3 linked regions of the Arabidopsis thaliana genome follow. The protein of the gene in region 1 interacts with the protein of each later gene in a pairwise test. Each region holds a gene or a part of one and is shown in the gene's direction. Other genes may lie near its edges.

Region 1 (3,500 bases):
ATCCACTAGCATTTTGTCGAAAAGATGGGAGTATCTTTGGATGTGGTTGCCTAAACTTAAGTATGGTCATAGAGATTCTTCTGAATGCAAGAGGTTGGAGTGTTTTCTTGACAAAAATCTGCCATTACATAGAGCTCCGGTTATAGAAAGCTTCCGTCTTTACTTAATTGATTCAAAATGCACACCTGAGAATATCAAGATGTGGGTTGTTATAGCAGTTTCTCACTGCCTGCGTGAGCTGGAGGTTATTTATTCTTCATATCCGGAGAAGCCAAACATATTGCCGAGTAACTTGTATACCTGCAAATCGCTTGTGATCTTGGAACTCTGTGGCGAGATTCGCTTGGATGTTCCTCGAATGGCATTTCTTCCCTCTCTGAAAACTTTGCAACTTCACAGCGTGAGATACCTCAATGAAGACTCTCTTCATCGGCTTCTATCTAACTGCCCTGTTCTTGAAGATCTATTGGTGGATTTACTTTTGTCAGACAGCATGGAAAAGCTAACTGTTGTTGTCCCATCTTTGCAGATTTTATCACTCTTTATACCTCATTCTTATGAGATCGATGGGATTGTGATAGAAACTCCTTCTTTAAAGTATTTTAAACTTATAGACCATAACAGTAAGAGTCACTACTGTTTGGTTAAGAATATGCCTAACCTGATAGAGGCAGATATAGATGTTGAATTACATAGCATCAAGAGTCTTATTGGATCAATCACATCTGTCAAGCGTCTTTCAATATGTTCACAGGTATCATTTTCTCAACTCATTGTTTAGATATGCATTTGCTGATAATTTTTAATATTGCGCAGGCTATGTATGATGGAGGTTTTGTCTTCAACCAGCTTAAACATCTGAAGCTATGTAGATGCAAAGGGCATTCGTCGGATTTACTTGTCCGACTGCTCAAAGATTCTTCTAACTTACAAGCACTAGACCTTTCCGAAATGGATGTAAGTTTGTTCGTCAAACTCTTTTTTCTTGTCTGATGCACATTATGGTTTTAGTGTAATTCTTCTTCTGTTTGATCTGTAATTCTTCTTCTGTTTGATCTGTAATTCTTCTTCTGTTTGATCTCAGTATCATGAGAATCATGATATCCTTTACTGGCATCAACCAAGTACTGTCCCTGAATGTATGTTGTTGAGTCTCCAAACTCTCAACTTGTCGGCATATAGAGGAACACCAGAAGAGAGAGATCTTGCAGTGTATTTCTTGAAGAACGCTGTTCACTTGAAGACCACAACAATCAAGTCATGTGTTTTTGATGATGAAAGATTTGACATGTTAAAGGAGTTGGCACTTTCTTCTAGAGCTTCAACAACATGCCAACTCGTGTTTGATTGAGAGTATTTGATCACCAAAACAAAGCTTGTTCTTCAGTTCTTCCATGTCCCCGGGCTCGTATGGTTTGTCTTCAACCTGAAAATTTGTTTTCGTCAACCATCTTTTTCTATGTTTTCCGTTTTTTTTGTATGTGATAAAAACTTTATTCTATATGTTGTCCACCAAAAAACAAATTATGTTGATTGGAGAAGTTATATGATAAGTTTTAATCGTTTATGGGGTTTTATAGGTGTGTAGAGATATATACATACCTTGTGAATGAAGAAAAGAGAACTAGCTCTGTGTTGAAAAACTGAAAAGCATTTGATGCCCTGATAATTTCTCTAAAATTATTAAACCGAAATACTAATACGATCCAAGTGGAACCAACCAATTTCTTAATATCTAAAATACCGGAATCTAAAGAGTCGAACCAAACCGAACCGGAATGTCCTCTAATTTTTATTTTTAAACCCATGATTATGACATGCACTACCGGCTTAGTGGTGATGTTTGGCAACATGGTTTATTCAATTCTCACTCGCACTGAGTGTCTGTGGCTCATAAATCATTTACCTTTTCAATTTCTCAATTCCAAATCTAAAAGTCGTCAAAAATGGCTCTCCGATCTGTCAAAACGCCGACCTTGATAACTTCGGTCGCCGTCGTCTCCTCCTCCGTTACCAACAAGCCTCACTCTATCAGATTCTCTCTTAAACCAACGTCGGCACTCGTCGTCCATAACCATCAGCTATCGTTCTACGGTTCGAATCTCAAGCTGAAACCAACTAAATTCCGATGCTCAGCGTCGGCTCTTACGCCGCAACTTAAAGACACGCTGGAGAAACTGGTGAATTCGGAGAAAGTGGTTCTGTTTATGAAAGGAACGAGAGACTTCCCGATGTGTGGATTCTCCAACACTGTGGTTCAGATTTTGAAGAATCTGAATGTTCCTTTCGAAGATGTGAATATTCTGGAGAATGAGATGTTGAGGCAAGGACTTAAAGAGTATTCGAATTGGCCGACGTTTCCTCAGCTTTATATCGGCGGTGAGTTTTTCGGTGGTTGTGATATTACTCTTGAGGCGTTTAAGACTGGAGAATTGCAGGAAGAGGTGGAGAAAGCTATGTGCTCTTGATCCTGATTTCAATACTTGGTTTTTGTGATGATGGAATTTGATCTTATCTATCTATCTATCACCTGGGAAAAAAAATGTGATTTTGATGTTTCAGAGTTTGTGGTTGTAACATTAAGAGACATATATTGTATGATGGATTTAGGTATACAACAGTTGGAGTTGCTTGGAATTTGAGTTTCCTTTGTCATATGTGTTGGCCTGCAAATTTGTGTTGTTTGTTGAAAGGTTTATGTGTGAAGTAGTGCTAGTAGAATCTAAGTTTGTTTCTGACTAAGAGACATGAAGTCATGGGTTGTTATGCTCATTCATATCCTGATTGAGATACAATTTAAAGAAACTTAGTTCCAAAGATTCTGAACATTCACCGGTACAGTGTGTCTGCAAATGGTATTCTGTCTCACTTCAATGTCTAAACACGTTGTCTCAAAATGTATCGTTTGTTAGATACTCCTTTCAAGACATATGATTTAGCCTCGCATGTGTTCGTTGATCCAAGTTTTACCGGTTTGATAAGTCTCCAGTCTTAGCAATAAATCCAGACCGGATTCATGACCAATCGCAGATTTACCGGTCCGGGTCAAGTTTTAAAACATTAGTAGAAATGTGTTTCACCGAACAGGAAGACTTATCTGATAGCATCTCGTTGCAGTGGATAAATGGCAAAATAGTAATATACGTAGATTCTGCTTTTATCTGAACCACATAGTGCAGATGGATATCGAACAGAAGAACATGATATCGAGAAGACACGTGGCCCAATGAAAAAGCCACGCAGGCTCTGTATAGCCAATTGCAATCTGGTTTTAGATTCTCATCTCACAAATCTTACTTATACGATCAGTCTCCCACATTCACACTTCCACCAAACACCTCTCGTCCACATCTTTCTCCTTTGGTGGCAAACACAACGACAGATAGAGAGAAACGATGGCGTCGAACTCGCTTATGAGCTGTGGCATAGCCGCCGTGTACCCTTCGCTTCTCTCTTCTTCCAAGTCTAAATTCGTATCCGCCGGAGTTCCACTCCCAAAC
Region 2 (6,712 bases), on another chromosome or scaffold:
AAATATTTATGAAATAATTTTAGAATCTTTTACTTGAGCTTTATTTGTTTCAATACTATATAGCCTAATTCTCGTATCTTCGGCAGCATCCGCTTGAGTACTGCAGTGCAGTTTACACACCATAATTCATTAAATACTAATATTTTGAATCTTTGATCTATTTAAATTCTCAGGCTCAATCGTTATCAATGGACGAGGACTACATAAATAGAACACTTTTTTCTCTTTGGACAAAGCATAGATAGATCACTTATGATCTTTTTTTATAATGAAAATTTAGTTATCCGGGACTAGGGGCGCTATAATCTAAGATTCTCTAGGCCATTGAGTTAGGAGAAAGAACTTAAGGAAAGGAACAATTGATAGGGATGCATTACGCAATGTATAAGAAATCATCTTAAAAGGATTTATTTACGTTGTTGCACAATATATAATTATATATAGTTAAAATATCATTTAATTACGCACCACCACACAGTATAGTTTAAATTCATCGATCCTTGATTTATTCATGACATCTTTCCAAAATCTCCAATACTCTTATTTAATGGTATAGACTCGATGGTGGTAGCAAAGTCATTATAATGTTTTGGAGCGTAATTGACTTTAGATAACCCTATTTTTATCCCTATAGTTAGATCTAAGGTCCTAATTAAATATCGATGACATCCAATAAATTTGGAACGATAAAGAAAGTTTACTGATTTGTTTCGACAAAGTCAATATTTCTGATTTGAGACAAATCAGAAACAAAGTGAATTTGTCAAAATTCCAAGAGCGATGGCGTGACGAATTGCGTGAAGAACAGCCGTAGCTTCAGCCGTGAGCTTCTATGGCCCTGATTTAAATCATAATTTTATAGATGAATATGAAATAACATCATGCTAGAAGTTAAACATAATAAACACTAGCGAACAAAAGCCACCAGCCACCTTCTGCCTTTTATGAAGCTATTACCTCCTCGTTAACCGAAAAAGCCACATGGCAAAACCATCAACATCGCATTCGTACTAACGACACAATTTGGACCCTTAGGATATTCTAAAGAATACTCTTAAAGCATGTGTTATAGACTTATAGCGACGCTAATTTGTTTTCGTATGTGAATTTCATTTTGATACAGAAGTACAGATCCGGGTGTCTTGAATTCTCCGGTTTACTGTGTATAACCAGTTTTCAAGGCTTTTTTTTATTTTTTAATTTCATTTTTAGGTTTCTCATTTTCGGTCATTCATGTCATACCAACCTACTGGAGTGGCTAATGAATCATGGTTCGATAACAATTCATCACCGACGAACTTCTCTGAAGGACCATGTTGACAAAAAATGTCTTGACACCCACGCAACTAGTAGACCTTTTTACTAAAACCTTGGGTCAAAAAGAGTTCGACTGTTTCTAGTCTCCACATTTCCACTTGAAGAGTTGTACGGAGACTTGAGATATAGTATATTTTTAAGTTATAGATTTTGGTTTTACTTTTTTTTTTGTAGCTATCTCAAAACTTGTAAAGAAGGCAAATAACATCAATAAGAAGATTATTTAATCAATGATTTTTAGGATACTAATGAATTTTTGATTTTATAGTATATATTTTTCCTTACATAGTTTTTCCTTTCCAAACACCATTGAATGTGAAAATCAAATTTTAGTCTTCAACATATTCCTTGCTTAGTAATGAAAGATAAGACCATCACATAACTCTTTTGCTATTAGATAAATATATTACTAAGCAAAATTAACTTTATAATTTAGTATGATTTCCAAAGAGTTATTTCCCAAAAATCAAGATTTGAGAGCCATGTGTTACAACTTTCAACTGCAAGATCTATATTAACCATTTCTGATTTTGGTTTCCAAATATTAAAACCATAAATCCCAAAAAATTAAATAATTAAAATCTCAAAGGGAAACTTGGGAAACTTCGTGGAAGTTGCCTTGGTGGACCCAATAAACAAAACTAATCAGTAGTATTTAAACAAATCATGACGCCATTTCTTTACAAAACAAACATAAAGAATCAGCAAAGCAAAATTCGAAGAGACACAAAAAAACCTTCGTTTGTGTCTCAGAATTTACAAAGTTTTGAGTCAGTAGAGAAATGGCGGGAATCGTGACAGAGCCGTGGTCAGTAGCTGAGAACGGAAACCCAAGCATAACGGCGAAAGGATCGAGCAGAGAACTAAGACTTGGAAGAACCGCTCACAACATGTCTTCTTCTTCTTTGAGGAAAAAATCAGACCTCCGAGTGATTCAGAAGGTTCCATACAAAGGTCTTAAAGATTTTCTCTCTAATCTCCAAGAAGTCATTCTCGGAACAAAGCTTGCCATTCTTTTTCCGGCCATTCCTGCCGCCATTATTTGCACCTATTGTGGCGTCAGTCAGGTACACATATTTTTCCGCTGTTTCATTGATAATACATTGAGAACATCATTCAAAATATTCGCAAAAAGAGTTAGAATACGAAACGCCTACAGATTTTTATCAATTTGTCATTAGTATTTAAGATATTTCATTACATCTAATCCAAATTACATCTAATCCAAATTACTAATTACCGGTTACTATTAAATTAGATTTGTAGTCATTGATGTTTTAAAATTAAACTTTGGTGTATCTTGTAACGTATATACATGTACATAATATATGGTACTAAATCGTGATTTTTATTACAGCCTTGGATATTTGGACTTAGCTTGCTAGGACTGACACCTTTGGCTGAGCGAGTCAGCTTTTTGACAGAGTAAGTATCCGACCATCATCTCTTATTTTATCCATTTACATATTTCTATAATTTGAATTCTTCACATTACGACATTTTCTTATCGATCGTGACAAAATTTAGCCAACTGTCGATAAAATGAATCGTATCTATCCATCTGTAGTTAAAAAGATCACGTTATATCAATACTTTTTTCTCTCTTTCAAATAAATCTAGTTACCAACCACTCATTGTAATACTTATCGTTGCTCCATAATACTTTCCACTAAGTTTGCAGTTTTTCCCACTACTTGCTTTAAATCTTAGGGGTTATAATCATGAAGATCACGTTAGTTAGGTCCAATTCCACCATAATTTATGCTTTTTGAAATAAATGGACATGGACCAATATTCTTTGGGGATTCGGCAATGCATGATTGGTTTTTTATTACAACCACACACAATTATTTGACACTCATATGTCAACGTGACAGCATAGTACAAACTCTATCATCTAATCAAGTACATTGAGATTATCTAGAATCATCTTATCAAGTGACGCCATAAAAAGTTTTTTTTTCGTGTGGTAACTTTATTATTCACATTCTCTCGTGATTCTCGTGCAGGCAACTAGCTTTCTACACCGGTCCTACATGTAACGTTTTCTTTACCAACTATTCTTATTCCAATCTACAAACGTTATTTACTTATTTTATCAGTAGAAACTCATTTATTTTTTCTGTGTGTTTTTGAACCGCAGTGGGTGGTCTATTGAACGCAACGTGTGGAAACGCGACTGAATTGATAATCGCGATTCTTGCTTTGACCAATAACAAAGTCGCAGTGGTGAAATATTCGCTGCTAGGTTCGATTTTGTCGAACCTTTTATTGGTTCTAGGGACTTCACTCTTCTGTGGAGGAATCGCTAATATCCGAAGGGAACAGCGGTTCGACCGGGTATGACTTCCCTTTTAACTTCGGTTCAACTTTAATTTCAAAACCAATAATATTTTTTTTAGTTAAGATAATTGAACCGGGAATGAAATAGGTTTTGTACGGCTAGTGTTAACCAGGATTTTGTTTAAAAGTTTAGCTTGATAAACAAGCAAGTGGTATGTTTGAACCAAATTTTAATAACGGATATGCTAAACGAAATCAATTTGTGTGGTCATTGTTGCAGAAACAAGCCGATGTGAACTTCTTCTTACTTCTACTGGGTTTCTTGTGTCACTTGCTGCCATTGTTGGTGGGATACTTGAAAAACGGAGAGGCTTCGGCTGCTGTTTTGTCCGACATGCAACTGAGTATATCGCGAGGCTTCAGTATTGTTATGTTGATCAGCTACATTGCATATCTTGTTTTCCAACTGTGGACTCACCGCCAATTGTTCGATGCACAAGAACAGGTAACTGAAATCTATACACACAAGATAACAGAAGAATGTTATATAGTAGCGATATATATTATTGTATTCTAATGGATCTTTGATACGAAATTTGGTACAGGAAGATGAGTATGATGACGATGTGGAGCAAGAAACCGCGGTGATTAGTTTTTGGAGCGGTTTTGCATGGTTGGTTGGGATGACACTCGTTATCGCATTGCTATCGGAGTATGTTGTAGCCACGATTGAGGTAACTCTTTTGAATTCCACATTGAAACTGACATGATCAACTAAAACATTATAGTAAATACACTTATCGCCAATTGGTTTTGAGTTGGAAACATGCTCGCTAATATAACGTCAACTTTGTTTAGGAAGCATCGGATAAATGGAACTTATCAGTGAGTTTCATAAGCATCATATTGCTTCCTATTGTTGGAAATGCAGCTGAACATGCTGGAGCCGTTATTTTTGCCTTTAAGAACAAGCTTGTAAGTTCGATTTTATTCCTTAAAATTATCGCTTTTAATCGATCCCGAGATCTATTATATAATGACACAATGCAAGAACTTATATCAATCCAAATAATTTCTAGGACATATCTTTGGGAGTTGCGTTAGGCTCTGCGACTCAGATTGGCTTATTCGTTGTCCCCTTGACCATCATCGTGGCGTGGATTTTGGGAATTAATATGGATCTCAATTTTGGTCCCCTCGAAACTGGCTGTCTTGCTGTTTCCATAATCATCACAGCGTTCACATTACAGGTTAAGCATTTTTCGACACCTTACAAAATTATTAATCCACTAGACAAATTAATGGATGATCCAAGTATTGAGGGTTAAATATTTTTGTTATGTTTTGTGGTTCTTTAGGATGGGAGTTCTCACTACATGAAGGGACTGGTCCTCTTGCTTTGCTATTTCATTATTGCCATCTGTTTCTTCGTCGACAAACTTCCCCAGAGTGAGTTAGTTTTCAAATGTATATGCATGCTATTATTAGGGAAAACAATAATTGAGGCATACAACACCCATATATCAAATGGAAATGCTTCATCAAATAAAGTTAAAACGGGTTAAATAGGTTCCCCCAATTATATTTATTTATTAACTAAGTTTTAACATAAATAAATGCTTTTCTTTATGACGAGTCTCTTTACTAATTTTTGAGTAATATCTTAATAACTAAAGTAAAATAGTAATAAAACTTATATTTTATTTTTTTAATTCAAAAACAAACAAAAATTATAATTTTACTGTCAAAAACTGCATAACTGTTGCTTCCGCCAAAACCGAAAAATAACATTTTCCGTTTAAACTGCGAAATTCTGTTTTATGTGATTGTAACTTTTATTGAAAAGTTTGTGAAACTACATAGGCTAGTGAAAAATAAATATCCCTGGAAACTAAGAGAAAATGTTGAAAAATGTTGAAATTCTCGAAGAAGATAACAACTCTCACTAAAAACATTTGGTCTTCACGTTCATTGTTTTTTCACAAAAAAAAAAATTCTCACAAAATCCACGTTTTCTTGCAAAAACCGTCAATTAATTGGGTATAAATAGGTTTAAAATTAATTGGGGTGGGTTCCAATTTAATAAGATTACTACATACTACATGCTACTACTAGATTGACAATGATAATTATTCCCTAACACCAAATTGTGATAATTTTATCTTTCAGAACAAAATGCCATTCACTTGGGACATCAAGCGATGAACAATGTCGTCACTGCAACAGGAGGAGGAGTTTTCTCATCTTAAACGAAGACAAGTACCAATGTGTTGAAACAAAATTTCCAAAGCGAGAGACAATGGAGAAAGGAAAACAAAAACCAATTTTCTTGATTCATTTATAAATATTGAAAGATTTGTCAGAGAGATTCCTGAGATTCAGTGAGTATTATTTCATTTTTCAAAAATGTTGGGTGTCTTGATGAAGATGAGTTTTGAGAACTTTATAAATTCTTCTTGTGGGTGGGTTTTGCAATGAACTATCTATGAATGTCTTGTGTCAAATGTTCTATCTCTTTTTATTAATGGTTTTATCATTTTTTCTGAGTAGTCAATACTATAAAACTATAAATAAATGGAATTTTTGATTTTCCTTTATAATCGAGGTAGAACATTGTTTCTACCAATAGAAATCCAAATTCAAATAATCATATATCTCATCAAGTCAAAATCAGACCTTCGGTGGGATTGAGAATGTCAGAAAAAAAAAAGGGTCAGACCTTTATTGGTGAGCTTTTGTGGGTTAAAAGCCCAATGAATAAGCTATTGGGCCATTTAGATTTATATCTGCAAAACAAATAAATGAAGTGAAGAGTTTGAATTCACACGAAAAACGAGGCTGCTTCATTGGTCAGTCCAATTCAAATATCAACCGTCAAATCAGTCAATCGCCGTTGTATATCCAACGGTTCAGATCTTAGATTCATTCACTAGGCCCTACTTTATTTACATCTATACCCTCTCCTAACGCTCCACCTCCAGAAAAAATTTTAAAGAACACCTGAGAAATCAGAACAGTGGCAGTTTCGTGAATATACGACTGAATCAATCTCTGTAAAATTTCTTCTTCCTCCTTTTTAGCCATTATCACTCTTCTTCTTCTTCGTTTTGTT
Region 3 (3,222 bases), on another chromosome or scaffold:
CTCTATTATATTCACATCCGACTTTGAAGCCATTCCTACAACACAAATATGCAAATCTAAATTCACATGAAATATGCCAATAAGGAAAGCAAAGCTACCTTTGTTGTCACCATCCAGGAACAAAAAGGAACACTTTCCAGTCAAAAAACAATTCCTCAAAAGAATCAAACTTTTTAGTGATATTAGTTAGATGCCACAAGTGCCAATGCCGTGATACCCATTTTCTCAAATCCAGTATAACACACAAAACAATCAACCAATCATGATAGGCCACCAGATAATAGTAACGCCAATCCTAAACATGAAACCGTAACTTTTTCCCGGGTAAAAAAGGGAAAGAACAAAAAGAAAACAGAGATCAGAAGAGAAGAAAGCTAGATTTTTTTAGATCAATACATGCAAAAGAATTATAAGAAACGTTTCATCATCATATAAACCAATATAAACCGAATCAACATGAAGATAAAAACTCACGAAAAAAGAAAGAGGGATTGAATAAGCTTCGAGATCACCGATTAGATATAGCTAACAAAAGAGCTTCCAAGTTCCAGATAAAGAATCTAAACATATAAAGAGAGAGAGACACGAGCATTGCCTGTTAAACTCGATGCACAGACAAAAACTGGACTTATTAAAAATAAAATATATTGATAACGTATATAAGTGTATGTATATGCGTTGAAAGAGAGAAAAGAATGAAGGGAGGATGCAGCGGCGGTGACGGGTTTTTGCGGAAACCGGAAAGTGGTTTTTTTGGTTTTACGAAAGTACCCTTCCCACTGAGGGACGTGGTAGTGGCAATTCTCGTAAATGTGAGAGTGTTTGAGTCCCTAAAGTAGAGAGTGTGATCAAGGATCCACGTCAGATCCGAATAGGATGTAGGACCTACTATCGAAAGCTGCAGCTAAAAACGCAGTGATATAGATGCGTGTGGTCGAATGCAATCTTACGTTACTGCAAAATTATTTATTTTATACTATTTTGGATTACGTCTACAATAATTTGTTTATTCTGTTTTTATCCATAACATTTTAACTTCATATGTTTCCTCCAAATCTATTTACCTGAATTTTGTTTTTCGAAATATATAATTTACCAATTAATATTAGTTTTCTCAACATCTACACTACCAAAGGATGCTACAATGTAAAATATTATACACAGGAACAAAATTAGCATATTTACAATTTAATCTGCACGATTGTTTGTCTATAAAATTTGAAGGATATAATCAATTTCTTCTTTTAGTTCCGTAGATTTTTTTATGATTCATTAATGAAGTTTAGACCAGAGATTAGGATCCTTAAAAAATTTGGATGAGCAGCTTAGAACCACTTTAAAAATTAATTTTGTACATCCAAAATTATCGAAACAAACTATTACCCAAATCAAAGATATTGCCTTTACTTCAAAAACTGATTACAGTTTTGGGTATGTTTTAGCACTATACCATCTTATTCTTATCATACCATGATCTTCTTGGAGAATTCATCTAATACTATTTTGGTCATAAATCAACATTTCAAAAAATATCCACGTTACAATTGTAAATTGTTATTACTTAATTATGTCTTAAGTTTTTTAACCACACCAAAAAAATATTAAATCATATACACAAACATTTTTCGAATGTATTTGTTATTTGATTTCTCACACAAATGTGAAGAAGTATGAGGGTGTTTCGATACACTTTTAGAGTTTGTTTGTTTTTTTGTAATTTTTTTCTCACAAATGTGGGGTGATGTTATTATATTTGAAAATTTGTGGACCTTAATGCAAATAACGCCTCTAATAGTAGATTCGTGAAGATGATAAGCTGACAAAACGACAGCGTCTAATATAGTTTCGAGTTTCTTCGACAGTGGCAATGTTTTCATCTTCGATTAGGTTAATCGTATCTGGGTTCCACCGGACTCAACCCCTAAAATCGCCGGTAAATTCTCCGAGCGTCTTCATCTCCGTACCTAAATTCTTCAACTCTGAGTCAAAATCGACGGGAACTGGTTCAAGATCCGTAGCAATGAGCAGCGTTGAGAAAACCGGGTCGGATTCTGGAGCAATAGAGAATCGAGCGAGCAGGATGAGAGAGAAGCTTCAAAAAGAGCTCGAACCAGTGGAGTTAGTGATCGAAGATGTTTCGTATCAGCACGCTGGTCACGCCGGAATGAAAGGTAGAACCGACGATGAGACGCATTTCAATGTGAAGATCGTTTCTAAAGGATTCGAGGGAATGAATTTGGTGAAGAGACACAGGTTGGTCTATCATTTGCTCCGGGAAGAGTTGGATACTGGATTGCACGCTCTTTCTATCGTCTCCAAGACGCCGTCTGAGTCTCCTTCTAAAGACTAGTGTACTGGTACTGTTTAATGTATCTTCTGTTTCTGTTATCAGAGTTTCTCATCAAACTCTGTTCGATTCAAAGATTGAATTTTTACCATCAAAGTGCTCTGTTTTGGAATTTATTGCGGAGCCAAAGTCTTCATTTTTACATACGCTTGAGGTTGTGTGTTGGTGTTTCTGGAATTGTGTGTTGGAACAAAGACACTTGCTTTTAGTTCAATTCGAGTTCTGTCTTTTCTAGCATTCAAAACTATAATGGTCATAGCTTGATGAATTGAATTAAGGCTCCATTTAGTTGAAAGTCCAATCAATGGTCATGTGTTTGAATTCTCAAAGGAAGCTCGATTGTGCCGTGTTTGTTAGCTTGGAGCCAAAAGGGTTGTTTTTCCATGTTTCTGTCTCTTTCTTCTTCAGATTATTCTCCCATTGTCATCAATGGCGTTTGCGTCTTCTAATCGCTAACGCTAGAAACAAAACGCCTTTTCCAATAGTCCATGTCACCTTCCTTTAGCAACAAATATATGTACTTTATGGGCTTAAACCAAATCTAATCAGTGATCACCTTTTTCTTTTGTGGGTAAAGTGAATCGTCATTTCCATTGTCTGGAGAAGCTAAACCGTCCCTCTTCTATACATCAACAGAGCAAGTTACGTTAGTATATGTCCGAAGATAAATAAAACGAAAAAAAAACAACTTTCCAAACTATCATCATTTTCACTACATTGGCGATGAGGGAGCTCTCGGAGCTTAACAGAGACAGAGACGGTGATGAAGAAGTGTGGGTCAAACACTATTCATCCAAGCACCAGATACTTCTCGTAGGCGAAGGAGATTTCTCCTTCTCTTGCAGCTTAGCCACTTGCTTCGGCTCTGCTTCCAA

What was found. The genes of interacting proteins can lie anywhere in the genome.
Region 2: the proteins of CXIP1 (region 1) and CAX1 interact in a two-hybrid assay, tested with the Arabidopsis thaliana proteins (one study listed by BioGRID).
Region 3: the proteins of CXIP1 (region 1) and AT1G55805 interact in a two-hybrid assay, tested with the Arabidopsis thaliana proteins (one study listed by BioGRID).

The regions. Positions count from the first base shown.
Region 1 is NC_003074.8:20,340,818-20,344,317, reverse strand, and holds CXIP1 (CAX interacting protein 1), read left to right. Parts: upstream 1-1,853; 5' UTR 1,854-1,946; coding exon 1,947-2,468; 3' UTR 2,469-2,961; downstream 2,962-3,500. Other genes in the region: AT3G54910 (RNI-like superfamily protein), read left to right, coding at 41-754, 817-957, 1,085-1,351; LHCA1 (chlorophyll a-b binding protein 6), read left to right, coding at 3,396-3,500. UniProt on the Arabidopsis thaliana protein: May only reduce GSH-thiol disulfides, but not protein disulfides. Probably involved in the regulation of the redox state of the BOLA proteins. May act as Fe-S cluster donors to Fe-S cluster-requiring proteins.
Region 2 is NC_003071.7:15,988,566-15,995,277, reverse strand, and holds CAX1 (cation exchanger 1), read left to right. Parts: upstream 1-1,992; 5' UTR 1,993-2,099; coding exon 2,100-2,384; intron 2,385-2,674; coding exon 2,675-2,742; intron 2,743-3,326; coding exon 3,327-3,355; intron 3,356-3,460; coding exon 3,461-3,657; intron 3,658-3,880; coding exon 3,881-4,105; intron 4,106-4,205; coding exon 4,206-4,334; intron 4,335-4,458; coding exon 4,459-4,575; coding exon of another isoform or gene 4,576-4,679; coding exon 4,680-4,850; intron 4,851-4,958; coding exon 4,959-5,165; 3' UTR 5,166-5,769; coding exon of another isoform or gene 5,770-5,849; 3' UTR 5,850-6,186; downstream 6,187-6,712. UniProt on the Arabidopsis thaliana protein: Vacuolar cation/proton exchanger (CAX). Translocates Ca(2+) and other metal ions into vacuoles using the proton gradient formed by H(+)-ATPase and H(+)-pyrophosphatase. Involved in ion homeostasis in association with CAX3.
Region 3 is NC_003070.9:20,858,084-20,861,305, reverse strand, and holds AT1G55805 (BolA-like family protein), read left to right. Parts: upstream 1-1,822; 5' UTR 1,823-1,867; coding exon 1,868-2,350; 3' UTR 2,351-2,696; downstream 2,697-3,222. Other genes in the region: UKL3 (uridine kinase-like 3), read right to left, coding at 1-33; AT1G55803 (ferredoxin-fold anticodon-binding domain protein), read left to right, coding at 3,071-3,222. UniProt on the Arabidopsis thaliana protein: May act either alone or in interaction with glutaredoxin as a redox-regulated transcriptional regulator, or as a factor regulating Fe-S cluster biogenesis. The glutaredoxin-BOLA1 heterodimers bind a labile, oxygen sensitive iron-sulfur cluster.